4 linked regions of the Mus musculus genome follow. The protein of the gene in region 3 purifies or fractionates together with the protein of the main gene of each other region. This does not show direct contact. Links are inferred from orthologs where the notes say so. Each region holds a gene or a part of one and is shown on either strand. Other genes may lie near its edges.

What was found. Proteins that work in one complex are often made in the same cells at the same time.
Region 1: the proteins of Fbxl5 (region 3) and Mms19 purify together in Homo sapiens (affinity purification with mass spectrometry; 4 studies listed by BioGRID and IntAct, counting the BioPlex papers as one, with this or other methods). This does not show direct contact. The link is inferred for Mus musculus from reciprocal best matches to the Homo sapiens genes FBXL5 and MMS19.
Region 2: the proteins of Fbxl5 (region 3) and Ciao2b purify together in Homo sapiens (affinity purification with mass spectrometry; 3 studies listed by BioGRID and IntAct, counting the BioPlex papers as one, with this or other methods). This does not show direct contact. The link is inferred for Mus musculus from reciprocal best matches to the Homo sapiens genes FBXL5 and CIAO2B.
Region 4: the proteins of Fbxl5 (region 3) and Aco1 purify together in Homo sapiens (affinity purification with western blotting; 3 studies listed by BioGRID, with this or other methods). This does not show direct contact. The link is inferred for Mus musculus from reciprocal best matches to the Homo sapiens genes FBXL5 and ACO1.

What each region holds. Positions count from the first base shown.
Region 1 is NC_000085.6:41,978,299-41,982,648, forward strand, and holds the start of Mms19 (MMS19 nucleotide excision repair protein homolog), read right to left. Parts: upstream 2,839-4,350; 5' UTR 2,816-2,838; coding exon 2,701-2,815; intron 1-2,700. Other genes in the region: Ubtd1 (ubiquitin domain-containing protein 1), read left to right, coding at 3,641-3,710. UniProt on the Homo sapiens protein: Key component of the cytosolic iron-sulfur protein assembly (CIA) complex, a multiprotein complex that mediates the incorporation of iron-sulfur cluster into apoproteins specifically involved in DNA metabolism and genomic integrity.
Region 2 is NC_000074.6:104,639,301-104,643,248, forward strand, and holds Ciao2b (cytosolic iron-sulfur assembly component 2B), read right to left. Parts: upstream 2,429-3,948; 5' UTR 2,391-2,428; coding exon 2,249-2,390; intron 2,091-2,248; coding exon 2,011-2,090; intron 1,794-2,010; coding exon 1,668-1,793; intron 1,266-1,667; coding exon 1,220-1,265; intron 787-1,219; coding exon 689-786; 3' UTR 539-688; downstream 1-538.
Region 3 is NC_000071.6:43,758,148-43,761,708, forward strand, and holds part of Fbxl5 (F-box/LRR-repeat protein 5), read right to left. Parts: intron 2,709-3,561; coding exon 2,560-2,708; intron 1,679-2,559; coding exon 1,596-1,678; intron 798-1,595; coding exon 75-797; coding exon of another isoform or gene 50-74; exon of another isoform or gene 1-49.
Region 4 is NC_000070.6:40,141,764-40,146,102, reverse strand, and holds the start of Aco1 (cytoplasmic aconitate hydratase), read right to left. Parts: upstream 2,839-4,339; 5' UTR 2,562-2,838; intron 1-2,561. UniProt on the Homo sapiens protein: Bifunctional iron sensor that switches between 2 activities depending on iron availability. Iron deprivation, promotes its mRNA binding activity through which it regulates the expression of genes involved in iron uptake, sequestration and utilization.

The DNA of each region.
Region 1 (4,350 bases), on a different chromosome or scaffold from region 3:
CCTAAAACAAGCCATTCAGACCTTACCGCTGGAGTTCAGGGTTATATATAATCCGGCTCCATCAACCCATTCAACCTTACTGGCTACTATTCCTTTGTACCAACCTTCCTTTTGTTAAGAGGAATAAATTACAATAGGGTTCACTTACACAGGTACTACAGAGTAGATTTTAAACCATACATGCACTGGCTAGTTTTGTGTCAACCTGACACAAGCTAGAGTCATCACTGAGGAAGGAGCATCCGTTGAGGAAATGCCTCCATGAGATCCAGCTGTAAAGCATTTTCTCAATTAGTGATCAATGAGGGAGGACCCATCCCATTCTGGGTGGTACCATCCCTGAGCTAGTGGTCCTGGCTCCCGTAAGAAAGCAGGCTGAGCAAGCCACAGGGAACAAACCAGTAAGCAGCACCCTCCATGGCCTCTGCATCAGCTCTTGCTTCCAGGTTTGAGTTCCTGTCCTGAATTCCTCCAATGATTGACTGTGATCTCCGAGTACAAGCCAAATAAACCCTTTCCTCCCCAACTTGCTTTCTGGTCATGGAGTTTAGTCATAGCAATAGAAACACTAAAACAAGATGATAGTTCAGGCTCCCTTTTTTGACATAACAAAAAAAGGTATTTTATGAAAAAATAAGAAGGCAGTTATTTAAGCTGTCTTTTAAAGATGTGTTATGCATCCATAAAATCCAAAATTATTATTCCCAGAGTGCACAAATGTGGAAGAACAATTACAGATAACATTAATATAGTAACATCTATCTTGGTATGGGGGTGGGTTTAAGTATATCTAAGCTTCTGTGAAAACAACGGTCCTGATATATAGTTCACCGGATCTAAAGTTTACCCCCCAAACAAACCAAAAGCAAACACTAGTCAATGAGGAGCTCGATAAAGAAGTTAGAGATTAATGTATTGATCTCTGCAGTTTAAATGGGTAGGTTTGTGACAATTCAAATTAAAGAAAAAAATGTTAGTGATAGGCTCTAAGTAGTGAGTCTATGATCTTTAAAAAAAAATTTAAGTTGGGCAGGGGTAGTGCATGCCCGTCATCCCAGCATTTGGGAGGGGGATTTAGATCTTTGAGTCCAAGACCAGCCTGGTCTACAGAGTTTCAGGATAGCCAGGGCAACACAGAGAGAGCCTGTCTCAAAAGACAATACACAAACAGATAAATAACTAAAAATTAAAATTCTTTAGATTTTGTTAAATGCTGTGAAATCTCCATAGTAAAATCTGGGGGGAAATGGCATTGATAATAACCCATAACAGACTATACTTGATTAAGTTGTAAAATGTTATAAGCTTAAGTGCAAGTACCAGGGGCTTTATTTTCTTTCTGAGATTGGGGCTCACACTGTAGCTGAGGCTGGCCTAGAACTCACTAGCAAACTTGCCACCCCCCTGCCAAATCCTGGAACTAAAGGAATGCACTACCAAGCCCAGCCAATAGCAGGCATTTTTGCCCCTTGATGCTCTGGAACCATATATTTACCTCTTACAACACAGTTCTTTCTCTCACTAATTATAATAGTTTGATGGCCATAGATAGTATCTTATTTGTATTTCTGTCCTCAATTCTTTTCATGCTGGGTAAAAAATACGTGCTCAGAAATAATAGAATGGCAGAGAATGTGGACTATTGCTAAGGACCAACATATATTTCTAGCAGTTCATTTCTCACATATTCTAAAAATTAATCTGTTCAATTTGCTAAAGAAACTTCTTCACCCATAAACTTCCAAACATAATTTTTAAAAACCCGCATCTATATCCATTTTTTATTCTATTTCTTAAACCCGACACTGAAGGCCTAACATTCAACATTCAGAAAGAATTCTAAAGAGGCACCCTGGATTTGTTCAAATCCTGGATAAACTCGGAACTGAGAGATTCCTGAAATTGGAACTCTGGGAAGAAGGATAAAAAAATGGGACATTAAAAAGTTATAAATCTAATTTATCAAAAAGCCTATTTGGGGCTGGAGAGATAGCTCAACAATTAAGAGGACAGACTGCTCTTGAAGAGGTCCTGAGTTTAATTCCCAGCAACCATATGATGGCTCACAATCATCTATAATGGGATCCGATGTCCTCTCCTGGTGTGTCTGACAGCGTACTCACATACTATATATATATATATATTCTTTTTTTTAAAGCCTACTAAGACACATAAGTGAATCTTTAAAGACACTAGTCATCTACACGCCCACCGACCTAGAGCCAGACTGGCTCCTCCCCTCCTCCATCCAATTACAACCACTCAAACAGCTGGAGCGCACGCTACTTCCAGGAAGGCAAGAGGCCGGAGCGTAACCCTTGGAACCCAGACCTTCTCACCTAACACTCCGCAAACAACGCGGTCCTGCGGTGCAAGCACCAGGTTTGGACCAGAACACCCGAGTCCAAGTCCCAGCTCCACTTCCGGACTCGTCTGTGCCTTGCACAAGTCTATTACTCTCGGAGAAATGTAATGATTCTCTATGGACCACAGCGAGATGCGGAATGTAAAGAAAGCTTTAAGGAAGATGCAAGCGACTCTCCAACTTGTTAGGGCAGTAGCGCTCCCAGCGGGGGCAGAGCGGCCAGAGGACCAATCACAATCACCTCTCCCTTCACTCCCTTCCCGCCGCGCGCGGGTGCTGAGGCCGCTCCCTGCGGTCCGGCCCCTGCAGAAGCCTCGCGGCGTTGTTTGCCATACCTGCAGCCACCTGGTCAGCGGGCCCCTCCTGTTGACCCATGACGAAGTCTTGCACGAGGCCACACAGGGCGCCCATAGGCGCCACTGCCTCCTCCAGACCGGTGGCGGCAGCCATGACGCTAGCCAGAGATTGTGGGAGGGGGAAGTGGGTGTGGCTACGAGATGTGTCTCTCCGCGCACGCGCCTCCATGGCCAATAGTTGGGCGCAGACTTCAGGGGCGGGGCACCTCCAGGTCACGTGCCTGCCGGCTCTGGGCCAGGCAGTCCCTTCAGGGACCTAACGGCCCCTCCCCAGAGGGCGGGGCCTGGGCCGGGGCGCGGCTCCGGGAGGGGAAGTGACTGCCGGGCACGCAGCCGGGGCGGTTGAGGGCGCATAATTCCCGGCCGCTCTCCCCGGGAGACGGGCGACAGGGCGGGCACCTGGCTGGGTGGGGCCGAGGGGCGGTACGCATCCTGGGAAAAGCCAATGAGAAAACCAGACCCGGCCCGAGGGGCGGTGCCGTCGGTCACATGCGCACCTGGGGCGGCTGGCGACCGTGGCGCGGCCACCCCAAGCGGGAGGAAGGGAGCGGGGCCGGGCCGGGGCGGGGTTAGGCAGGTGAGTGACAGGCTCCGGGGGGCCGGCCCCAGCTGGGAGCTCGGAGTGATCCTGGAGTAGCTGCGGCGGTGTCCGCCCCCTCCCTCCGCCCCTCCAGCCGGGCTGGTCTCTGGCCGGGCACTGTCGCGGGCCCCCCTGGCCTGGCCACCTCCCTCTCCGCTGGCCCGCAAAGTTTGTGGCGAAGCCGGCGTCGGGCAGAGCGCTCCCCAGGGGAGATCCAGGAGCTCTCGATGTCGGGCTGCGGGAGTCGTTGACCCGGGGACGCCGCGGTTCGGGGCAGCAGCGTGGAGCAGCCGGCCGACCGCCGCCTCTGGTGCATGGGGGACCGGCTGAGAAGCCAGCATGGGCAACTGCGTGGGGAGACAGCGCCGGGAGAGGCCGGCTGCTCCGGGACACCCCCGCAAGCGAGCAGGTAACGCCAGGAAAGGCAGCGGGGTCCCGGCGCGCTGCCAGTTGGCCCTTGCCTTGCCCGAACCTTGGGGTTCCCGAGCGACCTCGCTCGGCGCCGGGCGCTTGGGTTCCCCCACGGCTTCTCGGAGCCAGACGGGGCCCTCCCCGGCGCGGGCTGTCTGGGAAGCGAGTTGGGGTAACTGCGAGCGCTGACCCGGCCGGGAGGCCAACTCGCTCCCACCGGGAAGCTGGGGATGGGGGCGGGGGCAGGAAATGTTTCCAGACCGCGACGAGGCTGGCGGAGGGGGCCAAGCGAGTGCGCCGCGGATCTGGCAGCCCCGGCCAGGGTCGGCCGGCGGCCGGCCGGGGCGCGGCGTGGGCAGCCTGCGTCCCCAGAAGTCGGAGCGATCGAGGCGAACACAGTCGCTCATTCCAGCGAGTCACTGTGTCATTATCGGGCTGCAGGTCGTTGTCTGCGGGAATCCGACTTGTAAAAAGCAGTGCAGGACCATGGAAAATAGAAATCTTTATTTCCTCCCACCTCTCCACACGGCTTTTTGGAGCCTCGGTGGCTGTCTGGGAGTCTAGGAAAGGTGGGGTGCGGGGTGAGCGTCGCCTTCGTGTTTGTTAGGAGCGTTCTCAGCTCTTGGAATGGGATCCCT
Region 2 (3,948 bases), on a different chromosome or scaffold from region 3:
CTTCAAATTTTAATTTTTATCATTTGCAACCTTTGGTATCTGAAACATTGGAAAGGCTAAACAAATTTTTAAAAATTATTATTATTTTTTGAGACAGGGTCTCCCTATAACTGCCTTGGCTGTCCTGGAACTCTCTATGTAGACCAAGCTGTTGTCAAAATCATAGATGTGCTTGCCTCAGTCTCCTGAGTGCTGGGACTAAAAAGTTTGTACCACTATATACAGCTTGCTGATTTACTTTATATGTATGAGTATTTGCCTATACATGTGTGTATCACATGTGTTCCTGGTGCCTTTGGAGGCAAGAAGAGAATGTAAGATCCTCTGGAACTGAAGTTACAGATGGTTGTAACTTGGGCGCTGGGAACCTAACCCAGATCTTAAGAGCAGTAAGTGTTTTTAACTGTTGAGCCATTTTTCCAGCCCCACTGGGAGTTATCAGAAGCAATGAGGGCACCTCATGGACCCACCCTTCATAGGTCCCCACCCCACTCTACTACAACCGAAAATGAGTCCACTATGAGAGACGCTAAGGCATACTGGGAAATGAATATAAATTAAGGGTTTATTACAAAATAAAAAGTGTTAAGTTTCTCCTTGTCAGTGATTCAAGAAAACAAAGCCATGAGCCCTTGGTGGAGCTGAGGCCAGGACAACCTGAGTGCAGGCTGGGGGTCCAAAGCCAGGCTCACGAGCGGGCGGATAAACACTGATTAACAACCTCAAGCAGGTGTGTATTCTCCAGGGCAGCTGCCACTCGCTCCTTATCTGCAAGTTGTTTGTTCACTGGGTAGGAAAAGAAGGGTGGAAAAACAGGATTAAAGCAAACTTGGGCCAGGTTGCTAGCCTCAGTATACATTATATTTCTACCAATAAAGTTCTTTTCTGATAGTCTCAGGACTCCAAGCCTGGATCAGGCTATATGCATCACCTGTACCCATAACTAGCTTCATCATTTGGAATGCCCGTCACCACCAGGGACTGCTTATGTCTGCCTCCCTCCAGTGTTTCCTGAAGCCCGACCCAATGTCCCTGTGTACTTGAGGACCACAGGAGGGTGGGTCATGGGAAGCAGGAGATTTCAGTCAGGCCAGCTTTGGTCTAAGCTGTAGTATGGCCATTTTATTCACTTAGTCCCCTGGTCCTAATCTTGCCCCCACAGATGACTGTGGCAAAGGGGAAGCCTCACCTAGTTTGGGGCCCAGCAGTCCACACTAACCTGCATGCTCGGAGGCGTGGGTCCCGGGTGTAATGTGTACATCCATCTGCAGGAAAGACAATGTGGGCCCGAGCATTTACCCGCCTGTCCTTTTCTTTTGGACACTACCTCCCAACCATCTGAACTCCCAGTCACCCCTCTTGATTCTGGCTCTTCCAAGCCACCCCAAACCCACCTGCAGTCAGTCAATCCACTTTTACCCTAGGACCTAGTCAGCGACTATTGACTTTAAAAGCCTTCCAGTGCCTCGATCGATCACGCCCATTCACAGCTCCCAGCTGCCCTTTCCACCACACTCCTATTTTCTGGAGTTTTTTCCCCCCAATATTCTTGTCACATCAACTTGGGGGTTCAACTCTGCGAGTTCGGATCCTTCCGATCTCCGCCCGATGTCCCCTCGCCCGCCCCAGTAGTTTGTTTCACCCTCGGGGGCTTGACTCCAACTGACCTTGAACCGCTGGGGAAGGGATCGCAGCAGCTTGACTTTGATGGAGAGGCCAATAAGCGTGGCCATGCTGCAGTGTGGGATGGTGGGTGTGAAGGCCACTGCTACTGTGCTCTCTGGGTCGCTAACCTGCGATGACAAGGGAGATCAGATCGCAGTGATCGCACGGCGGCCCCTAGCCCAAAGACACTCTTTAGTTTATCGATTTGGGCAAGTCACCCAACTTTTTATCGGCTCCATAAACATTAACACACCTCCCACAGATCCTCTTGGGGGCTTGTGAACGGAGAACACCAGCCTCTGAGGTACAACGGTACCTTTTTGATTACTCGAGTAAACTACTCACCTGAATCCGAACTTGCTCTACTACGTTCAATTCCTCCAGTGTCAGTGGATGCTCCGGGTCATTAATGGAGCGGATAAGATGTGCCAAGTGAAGGAAAAGGGACTCTAAGTTTTGGCCCACTCAAAATCTCCGCAGGCAACGCCTAACCGGGACACCCCTCCACCAGCGGGCTGCGCATCACTTCTTGCCGACACCCCAAGCCCCCACCGTCCCGCCAGCGCCCTGCAGCGACGGATATCGAAGATCTCCCGGGCGTCGATGCTGTCCGGCACTTCCTCATCTTCCTCGCCCGCCGTCACTGGCCGCTCCCCGGAACGCTCATAGATGAGGGGGTTAGCGTTCTCTAAGAGCCCGCCGCCGCTACCGCCGCCGCCCACCATCCCGGAACCGCGGTTCCCACAATCCCCCGGTGGTGTGTACTTCCGCTCCTTCCGCGCACTTCCTGGGAACGAGGAGAGGGCGTGGTGTGGCTACGGGGTCGTGCAAGGGACACGCCACACTCCAGGGATTCGGCGAGTAGTTTGCTAGAAGCGGTGTATTTGTCGTGCGGGCTACTCCGAAAGCGGGAAAAATGTTGGTAGCTCTCGCCGGGGCGTCCCTTCGGTTCTTAGCCGTGGGATCCTGTTGGGAGCTGGATCGCAGGAAGCCAACACCGTCTGACAAGGGCACTAAAGGCTCCTTGTGATTGGGCCTTGGGACGCTCCAGCTCGCTGTCACGCTATCGTAGAACCGTAGATCTAATGACACGCTGGTTTCCTCTAGTAGGAATCGGCAGCACTAGTTACATGCTTGTTAAGTAGATACGCGATCCTAAACTCTCACCTCAGAGCATCCTAATGTAGACCGTGGTGACCTCTAGGCCACTTGAATCTGATCTGCCCTGAGAAGGCAGCACTTAATTTATCCTATAACCCCTCCCTACCAGACTGTCTCCTTTGCTGTCAGCCAGGCTATGGAGGCCACGAATGCCTTAGCAGGCAGAAATATCATTCTTGGCATGGGTGATGTCATGTCCAGCTTGTCTAAAGAATGGGAAATTGCACATATAATTCCCACAGTCTTTTTCGTAACTCAGGAGAGGCAGGGTTGGTGGAAGACAGACTTGTGCCATTGGGACCAGCACACGTGGCCCATGGCTGACTGCTCGCAGGACTGAATGATGGCAGCAGGTCCAGAGGTCCCTCAGTGAGCCTGGATGGATAAGCTGGGGTCTTGTAGTGGGTAAAAACAGTGTTTGAAAACAAAGAGTACTTTGACAAGGCTGACCTAAAGGTCACAAGGAGGTAGCAACACCCACAGTGCGGCGCCCGCTGATAGAACAGACTCAACTTTGATGCCATCTGTACATTTCCAGTCCCATCATGACCAGTCACATGGGGAAATCTCTTTCATTTGAGTGGTATTGATGTGGGTGTCCACGCCTTCCTGCTAGTTCCCTTCGCCAAGCTGCCTCTAGGGATGCTGTGGTTTATACCCCTGGGCCACCTAAACTGTGTAAAGGATGGGACCTCTGATCCAGCAATGTAAGTTCTCCTGGGGCCAAGGGGACTTAAGGGACCTCTGAGCTCTGGGTCAGGCTGCAGCAGTTTTTCCATCTCAACCCCACTGGGATTTCCAGCACTGTCGGGAAGATTCTCACATTCATTAAAATTTTAACTACATTTGAGAAGAGGGCACATGCCACAATGTGTTAAGTGGAGGTCAGAGGACAAGTTTCAGGAGGGGTTCTCTCTTCTAGTGTATGGTTTCCAGGGATAGAACGCAGGTCATCTTCAGTCATTGCAGTAAATGCCTTTATCCAACGAGTCATCCTGTGTTTCCTCCACCATATATCTGTGCTGCTCTTCATTACTCGGTACCAAGTTTGCCAGTGTCCTGTCTTGCTTCACATGCTCAATAATTTCCCTCGTGATGTTATATATGTCTGAGTTCAGTGAA
Region 3 (3,561 bases):
AAAACTTAGATCAGTAATGTAATATTTCATGTGCAAATACATCCATTTCCTAACAACTAGGGCTGATCACCCACCTGAGACCATGGTCTGTGATCTGGTAACATCCAGACAGACTGAGGAACAAAAGTACTCGTCCAGTCTCTTGGTCAGACTTTTCACTCCCAAAATAAATTAAGTCTTTCCCCCTGGGCAATGTAGTCCTTAATGCTTTTCTACACATTGCAGAAGTCGCTGGGAGTGTAGTCATAGTTCTTAAAGCTGTCCCTGTACAACAGAATGAATGACCACAATATGCAAAGGCTGGAGAAGCACAATGCTGCTGCCAACAGACACTAGTCCTTAATCCCACAATGTCCTTACTGTAACAACCAGATGAGGAACAACCAAAGTTGGAGGCTGTTTCCATCACACAGAGACTCTCAACATTTCTGTGTCTCCACTCTACAGCATCTTCAATATCAGCCAAATCTTCAGCATCTAGCATCCACACATAAGGAGAAGTCAAACTTTCAGAAGACACAGGTTCAGTCCAAGAGTGCTCGTTGTCTATTTCTTCACCAATGCCTTTGTCAGTTAAATTGTGCAAACAGGCATACTGCGTGGTGGATGGCATGGTAATGTCTTTACTTGTCCATGGAGTTGAAGCAGCCTTGCCTGCACTTTTCAGAAAGCCACTCTGATGAGATGTCAGAACTCCAAGAGCTCTAGAAATCTTCTCTAGAGCCATGTCTGTGATTTTTTCACATCCAGACAGATCAAGATGCCGAAGACTCTGGCAGCAACCGAGCCAAGACCAACTACAAGAGGGAAGAAGACTATTAAATTCCTGAAAAGCATTAAACTATACATACAGATAGATGGGTAAGAGCATTACTGTAAGTACAAAATCGATACTTTAACATTTCTGGAATTTCAATCATCAGGGAATATGTTAAGTGCTAAGGATAAGAAAAAAATACTAAGACGAGTAATTAAAGAAGGAAAAAAGAAAGCAGAAAAAAATGAATAGGAGAGATTTAGTTTCCTGTACACTAAGTAAGCAGTTAAAGGGGAGGCAGCACACACATGAAAGAATTGCTAAATATAATGAAGATACAGAAGAAACAAACTCTAGAAACAGGTAAAGACCCTGTCTCTCCCTTTGAAATAGGATCTATCAGAACTGTGAAGAAAGGAGAGCTAAAATAACAAGAAACCTAGCAATCTCCAAGGAAGAATCATTTGTCTGGCTTGAACAGACTGGTACTGAACCAAAAAACAATGAATTACGTTAAAGGAGCTCTGTGAAAAGGCACTTAAAATCTGGAATAAAACCTTGAGAACAGTAATACTGACCGAGACAACAGTTACAGAGCAAGCCTAGCAAGCTAGATAAGACATACAAATGGCAAGTATGATGTTCTGGATCGGCTGCCACATGTGAACAAGGGAAAACTTGGGAAGGTTCTATCAAGTTACCACCATACATGGCAGGGGTTTAGTAACAATACAGGGTAGGATTAGTAAACAGCAATTATGTAAACAAGAAAATAGACAATCTTTTGCTGGCTTTGTTTTATTTTATTTACTATATTTAGATATTTAAAATAATTAACCTGTCAAATGCAGAATCAGAAATGTCGGTCTGGGTAAGATCCAGATGTTCCAGGTTAGGACAAAGCTCTAAAATCTGCCTAACCTAAGAAGGAAAGGAAATCCACTGTGAGGACCTGTGGGAACTTCAGTTAGAAAAGCAACAATGATAAATATAACACCGTGGTTTTTTCCTAAGTCTACATGCATACTGAAAGAAAAAAAAAAAATCACTCCAACAATGCACTAAAATAGTTACACTCTGTGCTCAAATTCTGTTTTGGTGAGGTGTGTGTGGAGGCCTGAAGTTAAGCCAGTGTGTCTCCCTCCATCTAATTTTGAGCCACAATCTCTCGCTGAACTCTAAACCATAGGTTCTGCTAGTGTAACTGCACAGTAAGCACCAGGTATCTGCCTGTCTCTGCACCCATTTCTCCTGGTCCCAGCACTATGGTTACAAATACATGCCATTATACATATATCTACATTCTGGGGATCCAGGGTCTCACACTTGCACAAAAGGCACTTTACCAAATGAACTTTTACCTCTCCAATCCCTGGGCCCATATTTCTAGTAATCTTCTTAAAGTTTCTTAGAAATTAGACCCAGAAAAATCACCCTTTTAAAGGAATACTCAAGGAGATTATATGTAGGAAGTCATAATTTTATAAAACTAATTATCTCACTTGTGCATCTTCCTATGCCTTACATGTTATAATCAACTCTATAGAATTAAGACTCACCACGTAACATCTATAAAGCCAAGTAAACGCTTAGCTGCCTAGTTTTAGTTCCCTTATCTATAACACAGGCAAGATTTCTATGCTACATAGAATACCCTAAGAAATGAAATTATATGAATGCGAACAGTGTACTCCTATCCATGGGAAGACACTATTTTTTCCCTCTTAAACATTAATAAGTAAACTAAAGTTGTCTCACTGCTATTTTCCTTAATACTCGAGCTAGTGTTCATTTGTACATACCATTTTGCTGGAGACTGCAGAGCTGTACGCTAACACTAAAGTTTTTACAGAGGTACCAACATATGGCAGAACATTATGAATTAAGCCATGGAGTACACGTTTTTCCATTTGTGCAATGCTGATAGCAACCGATTCCTCTGCAGACTCTTCTGTAAAATGAATTCAAACATCTAAGAACTAGATATACCAATTTTAAGTATGCCACCAATAGGATGCATCAAAATATTAAATATGAAATACTCTATACTACCCTCACTTTTGTAAACAATTCACTTTCCAGCAACAAGAAAAAGTTCTGAATAGTCAAAGAACTGTAAAATTCATTCAAGAGAAGGAATAAATGATCTATAATGTTTTGGCTTTTTTTTAAAGTAACATAAGTTATTCTACCTAATTAAAAAGGACACACAGAGCTAGATATGAAACAACGCCATTAACCTAATCAGTACGAATCTTCAAGCAAAGACACCTCAGCTCATAAGAAGTTTAAACATAAGCATGGCTTCCTGCACTTGGTAACTTTTATAGAGCTTGGATGTCTATAGCAAGTAATACTTCTCTAACAACAAACAAAAAACTAAACAGGCTTAGCTTGCCAGCAGACTGTTTTTACAGGATGAGTAAAGACCTGAATTCAAGCCCGAAAATTAAAGAAAAGAAATTTTCCTACAATCCCAATTTAATAAAAAGCAAACACACTGTAAGTAAGCCTAAAATTTGTATTACTTTTCAGGATTCTACCTTTACTATACTTACCTAAACTCCTAACCTTAATGTACTGCACAATAAAGTAGCTTAATATAGTAAAGATTTGTTTAAAATAAAATTAAATATAGTGATTAAAAGAAAGCTATGTGAAAAGAGTAATTACTAACTATTTTATTGACTTTGTGTATTTCATAAATACCTCAAGTTCTTCCTTTACTTGGACAATATGTGTATCATAAAAATCACTTCAGAAAACATTTCTTATTCCACTATACTTTTATTCTTAATTCATTC
Region 4 (4,339 bases), on a different chromosome or scaffold from region 3:
ATCAATATTAGTATATTTTAAATACAGCCTTCCCTGTCCCCATCTACCAAAAATTTGGAAGACTTGAATAAAACACCTCATACCTAATATCTTTGTTCAGGCAAAGGAGTCTGACTTTGCCAAAAAAAACAAAAAGAAAAGAAAGGAAGGAAGGAAGGAAGGAAAGAAGGAAGAAAGAAAGAAAGAAAGAAAGAAAGAAAGAAGGAAAGAGAGAAAAGAAAGAGAAAAGAAACCAAATTAAATGCACCTTGGCTCCAACAGCAGCAGTGTGCTGGTAAATGTTTAGCAATTTGTTCCCAGGTAGAAAAAAACTCATACATGGAGTGCTGGATGATTTCCATGTTGTAAATAAATATTCTCATTATGGTCCATTTCAAGCTACAGAAATGTAACACTGCTGAACACAGAGTTGAGAAGACACGTGCACAAACACTAGCATAAATCTCTCTCAGGAAACCATGGGTGTTTGGGACACCTACTAACCACAGTCTAGTTGGAAAGTCAGAGACACGAAAGTTCTGAGAGATGAAGTAACCTTCACAATGCGAGGCCAAGAACGGACACAGGTTGGGAGGGACTTTCCTATGCAGACTCTAGTGGTCGCATGAGGAGGTATCTGCTCCTAAAAGACAGGAGATTGGAGCAAACAAGACAAACAATGTTGTTTGTCGGGGAAAAGGTAATAAATACCATTTATTTTAATTGTCATCTTTACATGTAGGCCTCTGGTTTCCTTTGCATGTGCTTTTTTTGATGCACACCTTCCTAGCAGGTATTGCTTTCTTACATGACCGTGTTTCATGTACACATACAGGCAGGAAATGATCTCAACTGGACGGTACTTACCTATGCTCTTGACTGTAAATTCCAGACAGGCCCTTCACCTTCTAAAATCATTCATTTCCCAAGGTCCAGAAGAGTTGGAGCTGAGATAAACATCTACTCAAGGATGAATAAGAGAGGCTCCAGTATCAACAATGTGTATAACAAGAACACAAGGGCTCAGATCCCAGCCCCCTTCTCCCGACTGTGGGAGCAACAGCATGAGGACAATCATTTCTAATGTATTACTTAAAGTGCTGAAGCTGCTCAATCAGAACACAATAGCCTCTTTGGGTAGAGGATTAAGAAACTTGTTTGCTTTGAGGTATACATTTTTTGATAATATGTATATAACTTCTATCTCAAATTCCTGTAGACAGCATGAAACAAAGGAAAGACTCTAATGCAGGGTTCCATCTATCACACACAGACACAATGGGCAACTGCTTTCCAGTGGCAGAGGCAGGACCACACACAGAGCTCACCAGGAATGTGGAAGTGGCAGAATTCGGAGACTGGGACACCATACTTCAACAGACCCAAGGCTAGAAACCCCCAACAGAACTGAACACAGGGATAAGGAGGCAAAAACATGCCACCTGGTGTTTTAGACATGACCTCTCAACTGCTTGGTAATCTTACAGCAACCCCTACACATTTGGCATGGTCTAGTCACACCCACCTCCCTGAACTCACAGGTCTGGTGTGCTACATCAGGTTTACACACATCAACTCAGCAGGCACAGAAACAACCAAGGCACACATGAACATCACCCAAAGCCACCACCAACTGTGGGGATCTCGTATTCCGTTGGAAAGTGAGGTCCAGAGTGCTCCTGGGTATCAGAGGTTAACTCCTCCACGGTGCGGAATGGAAGAACCATAAATAAAGTGGCAAACCCAGTGAACTATGCCTCCTAAGCACTGGCTACTTCGGTGGTTCTAAAGTATGCTGCAGAGAAACACAGGCGCAGGTGTTTGGACGGTCAAAACCACTCTTTAAGCAATACAATGTTACATTTTCACCAATATACTTAAAAGTCTTCAGAAGCTACATGACCTGTCATACTGCAACAGGCTGAGTGTCTTCTAAGCAGAGATTTGCAGGAAGGTTAAAGAATGCCATTCTTAATAACAGTGTTTTGGAAACTACAGAATCGGTCTATCTGAATTAAGTATATTAAGTGTCTATACGCTGTATTTATACACTGCAAAAATCAATAGGTACAATCTATATAACAAAGGTTCTTTAGGCGCGCTGCCGGTCCTAAATGCAAAAGTTCGGCAACTTCTGCTGGGAGGCTGTCATGCGTGCTGCAGGGAGATCTGCGGTTCTAGTGCACTGGGCTGGCCAGAGTGGTACAGTCCCGTTCTCCTTGGGTTTCTCAATCAATCACCTTGGACTCTATGCCCTTCCACTGAGGGGGCTCTTACCCTCACCCCGCCTGCCTTCGCCCCGTGCTGGGGACTCCAATCTGCCGGGCACAATCGTTCCTTTCTATCCCGTGGGCTGGGCCTGGCACAATGACACCCCGGCGGTGCGGCCCTCACACCAAGGCGAGAACTCCCGGGGCGCCGAGTAGAGCCACTCCCAGTCCAGAGCGACGCAGGCTGGGGAGCGAGTAGAGAGGTCACCCCAGGAGCCAGCTCCACCGCCTCCCCGCAGCTCTCCCCGTGTCCTCGGGTCTGCACCCGTGGGAAAGGCCTGCACGGACGCCCCGGGGCCGCGTGGTACTCACCGCTCACAGTGCAGTTCCCGGAGCACACAGGCGGGTGCTAGCAATGTCCCAGGCCGACTCCGCGCTCCTCCCACTGAGCGGTCCTCCGGACGCTCCGGCAGCGAGGCGGGACCGGTGGAGAGCGGGCCGGAACCAGCTGCTGCGGGAGAGGGGCGGGGCCCGGGCCTCACTCCGCCCCCCGAGGGGCGGAGCCTGGGCACCTCCTCCCTCTAGAAGCTGCAAGCGATGGCTGAAGCTTGCAGTCTAGTCCGGGTGCGCCCTCCCTTCGGAACCTTCCGATCTTGGCAGATGGGCGGAGTCTAGGGCCTATTCCGCCCCAAGGCCCAGATCTGACTTGAGGTTGCGGCCAAGGGGCAGAGCTTGGGAACACCTCTTCTTTCCAGAGCCTGAAGGCAGACCATACCGAGGGACGAGTCCCAGGCCCCTACATGGCCAGGTTTAGGGGCTGGGCACCGTCCCACCCCTAGAACAAGAGACTCGTGGCCACGGACGGGGGCGGAGCCTAGGACCTGCTCCACCCCTCTGTACCTCCTAGGCCCGAAGGCCCGAAGCTGAAGGCTATTGATCTTCGTGGCTCCTCCCCATAGGCGGGAGAAACTGGGCCCCGAGGCTGCATCTAGCTTTGCTAGTGGCTCAGTCCCAGGAAGTGTAGAGCCGATTTCTAGGCTTTTCCTCTTTTGGAGCGTGGAGAAGGCTGACTGTCCCTCACGAGGGGCAGAGTGTGACATGTAACTGCCTGACTAACGTAGGGAGCCTTAGGATTTCTGTTGCTGCGATGAAACGCCATGACCAAAAAGCAAGCTGAGGAGAAAGGGGTTTATTTGGCTTACACTTCCAATTCACTGGAGGAAGTCAGGACAGGAACACAAGCAGGGCTAGAACCTGGAAGCAAGCACTGATGCAGAGGCCGTGGGGGTGATGCTTAATGCCTTGCTTCCATGCCTTGCTCAGCCTGCTTTATCATAGAACTCAGGACTACCAGCCTAGGTGAGACCACTCACCATGGGCTGGGCCCTCTCCCATTGAGAAAATGGTGAGAAAATGCCTTACAGCTGGATCTCATGGAGGCATTTTCTCAACTGAGACTCCTTCCTCTCTGATGACTAATTTGTGTCAAGTTGGCACACAAAACGCCACCTTTCTTTTAAATGCTGGGTGGTAAGTACGTTTTCTGAGTGCCTCTTCCAGTGTCCCCCACCTCCTCCACCTTGCCCTTCACTTCCTATTCCTACCCCAACTACTGTTTTGTTTTAGATTTCTTCCCGAGGGTTTAGTTGTTTGGGGTTTTTGGTTTGATTTTTGAGTCAGATACTCATGGGCCCCAGGCAGGCTTAGAGCTCATTGTTTGGTGGAACTCCCCAGACCTTGGACTCCCTACATCTACCTTTAAAGTGCCGGGACTGCAGGTTCTGTCCCACCACACCCAGCTCTTATAAAAGGCAGTTTCTCCGTTATTACTAGCTCAAAGCACAGGAAGTATACATCAGGAGCACACTTCAACATGTCTGTAGCTTACACAGAATGCAAACTTTCTATATATAAAACTTGGTTTTAGCCTACAGCAACCCATTAATTACAGCACATGCTGTCCACCGATCTAAAGTCTGAGCTGTGAGACTGAGTGGGGGTTCCGTCCATGCTTAGCAGTTTAGCCTCTCAAGTCAATGTGAATTTGGAAACATGATTGATTAGCTCTAGATGAAAGGATGTAAGGTTTTGCTGCCCAGATCATTTGGAAATTCAGTGTAGGCTTCTACATTGAGTTAACACGAACGAGC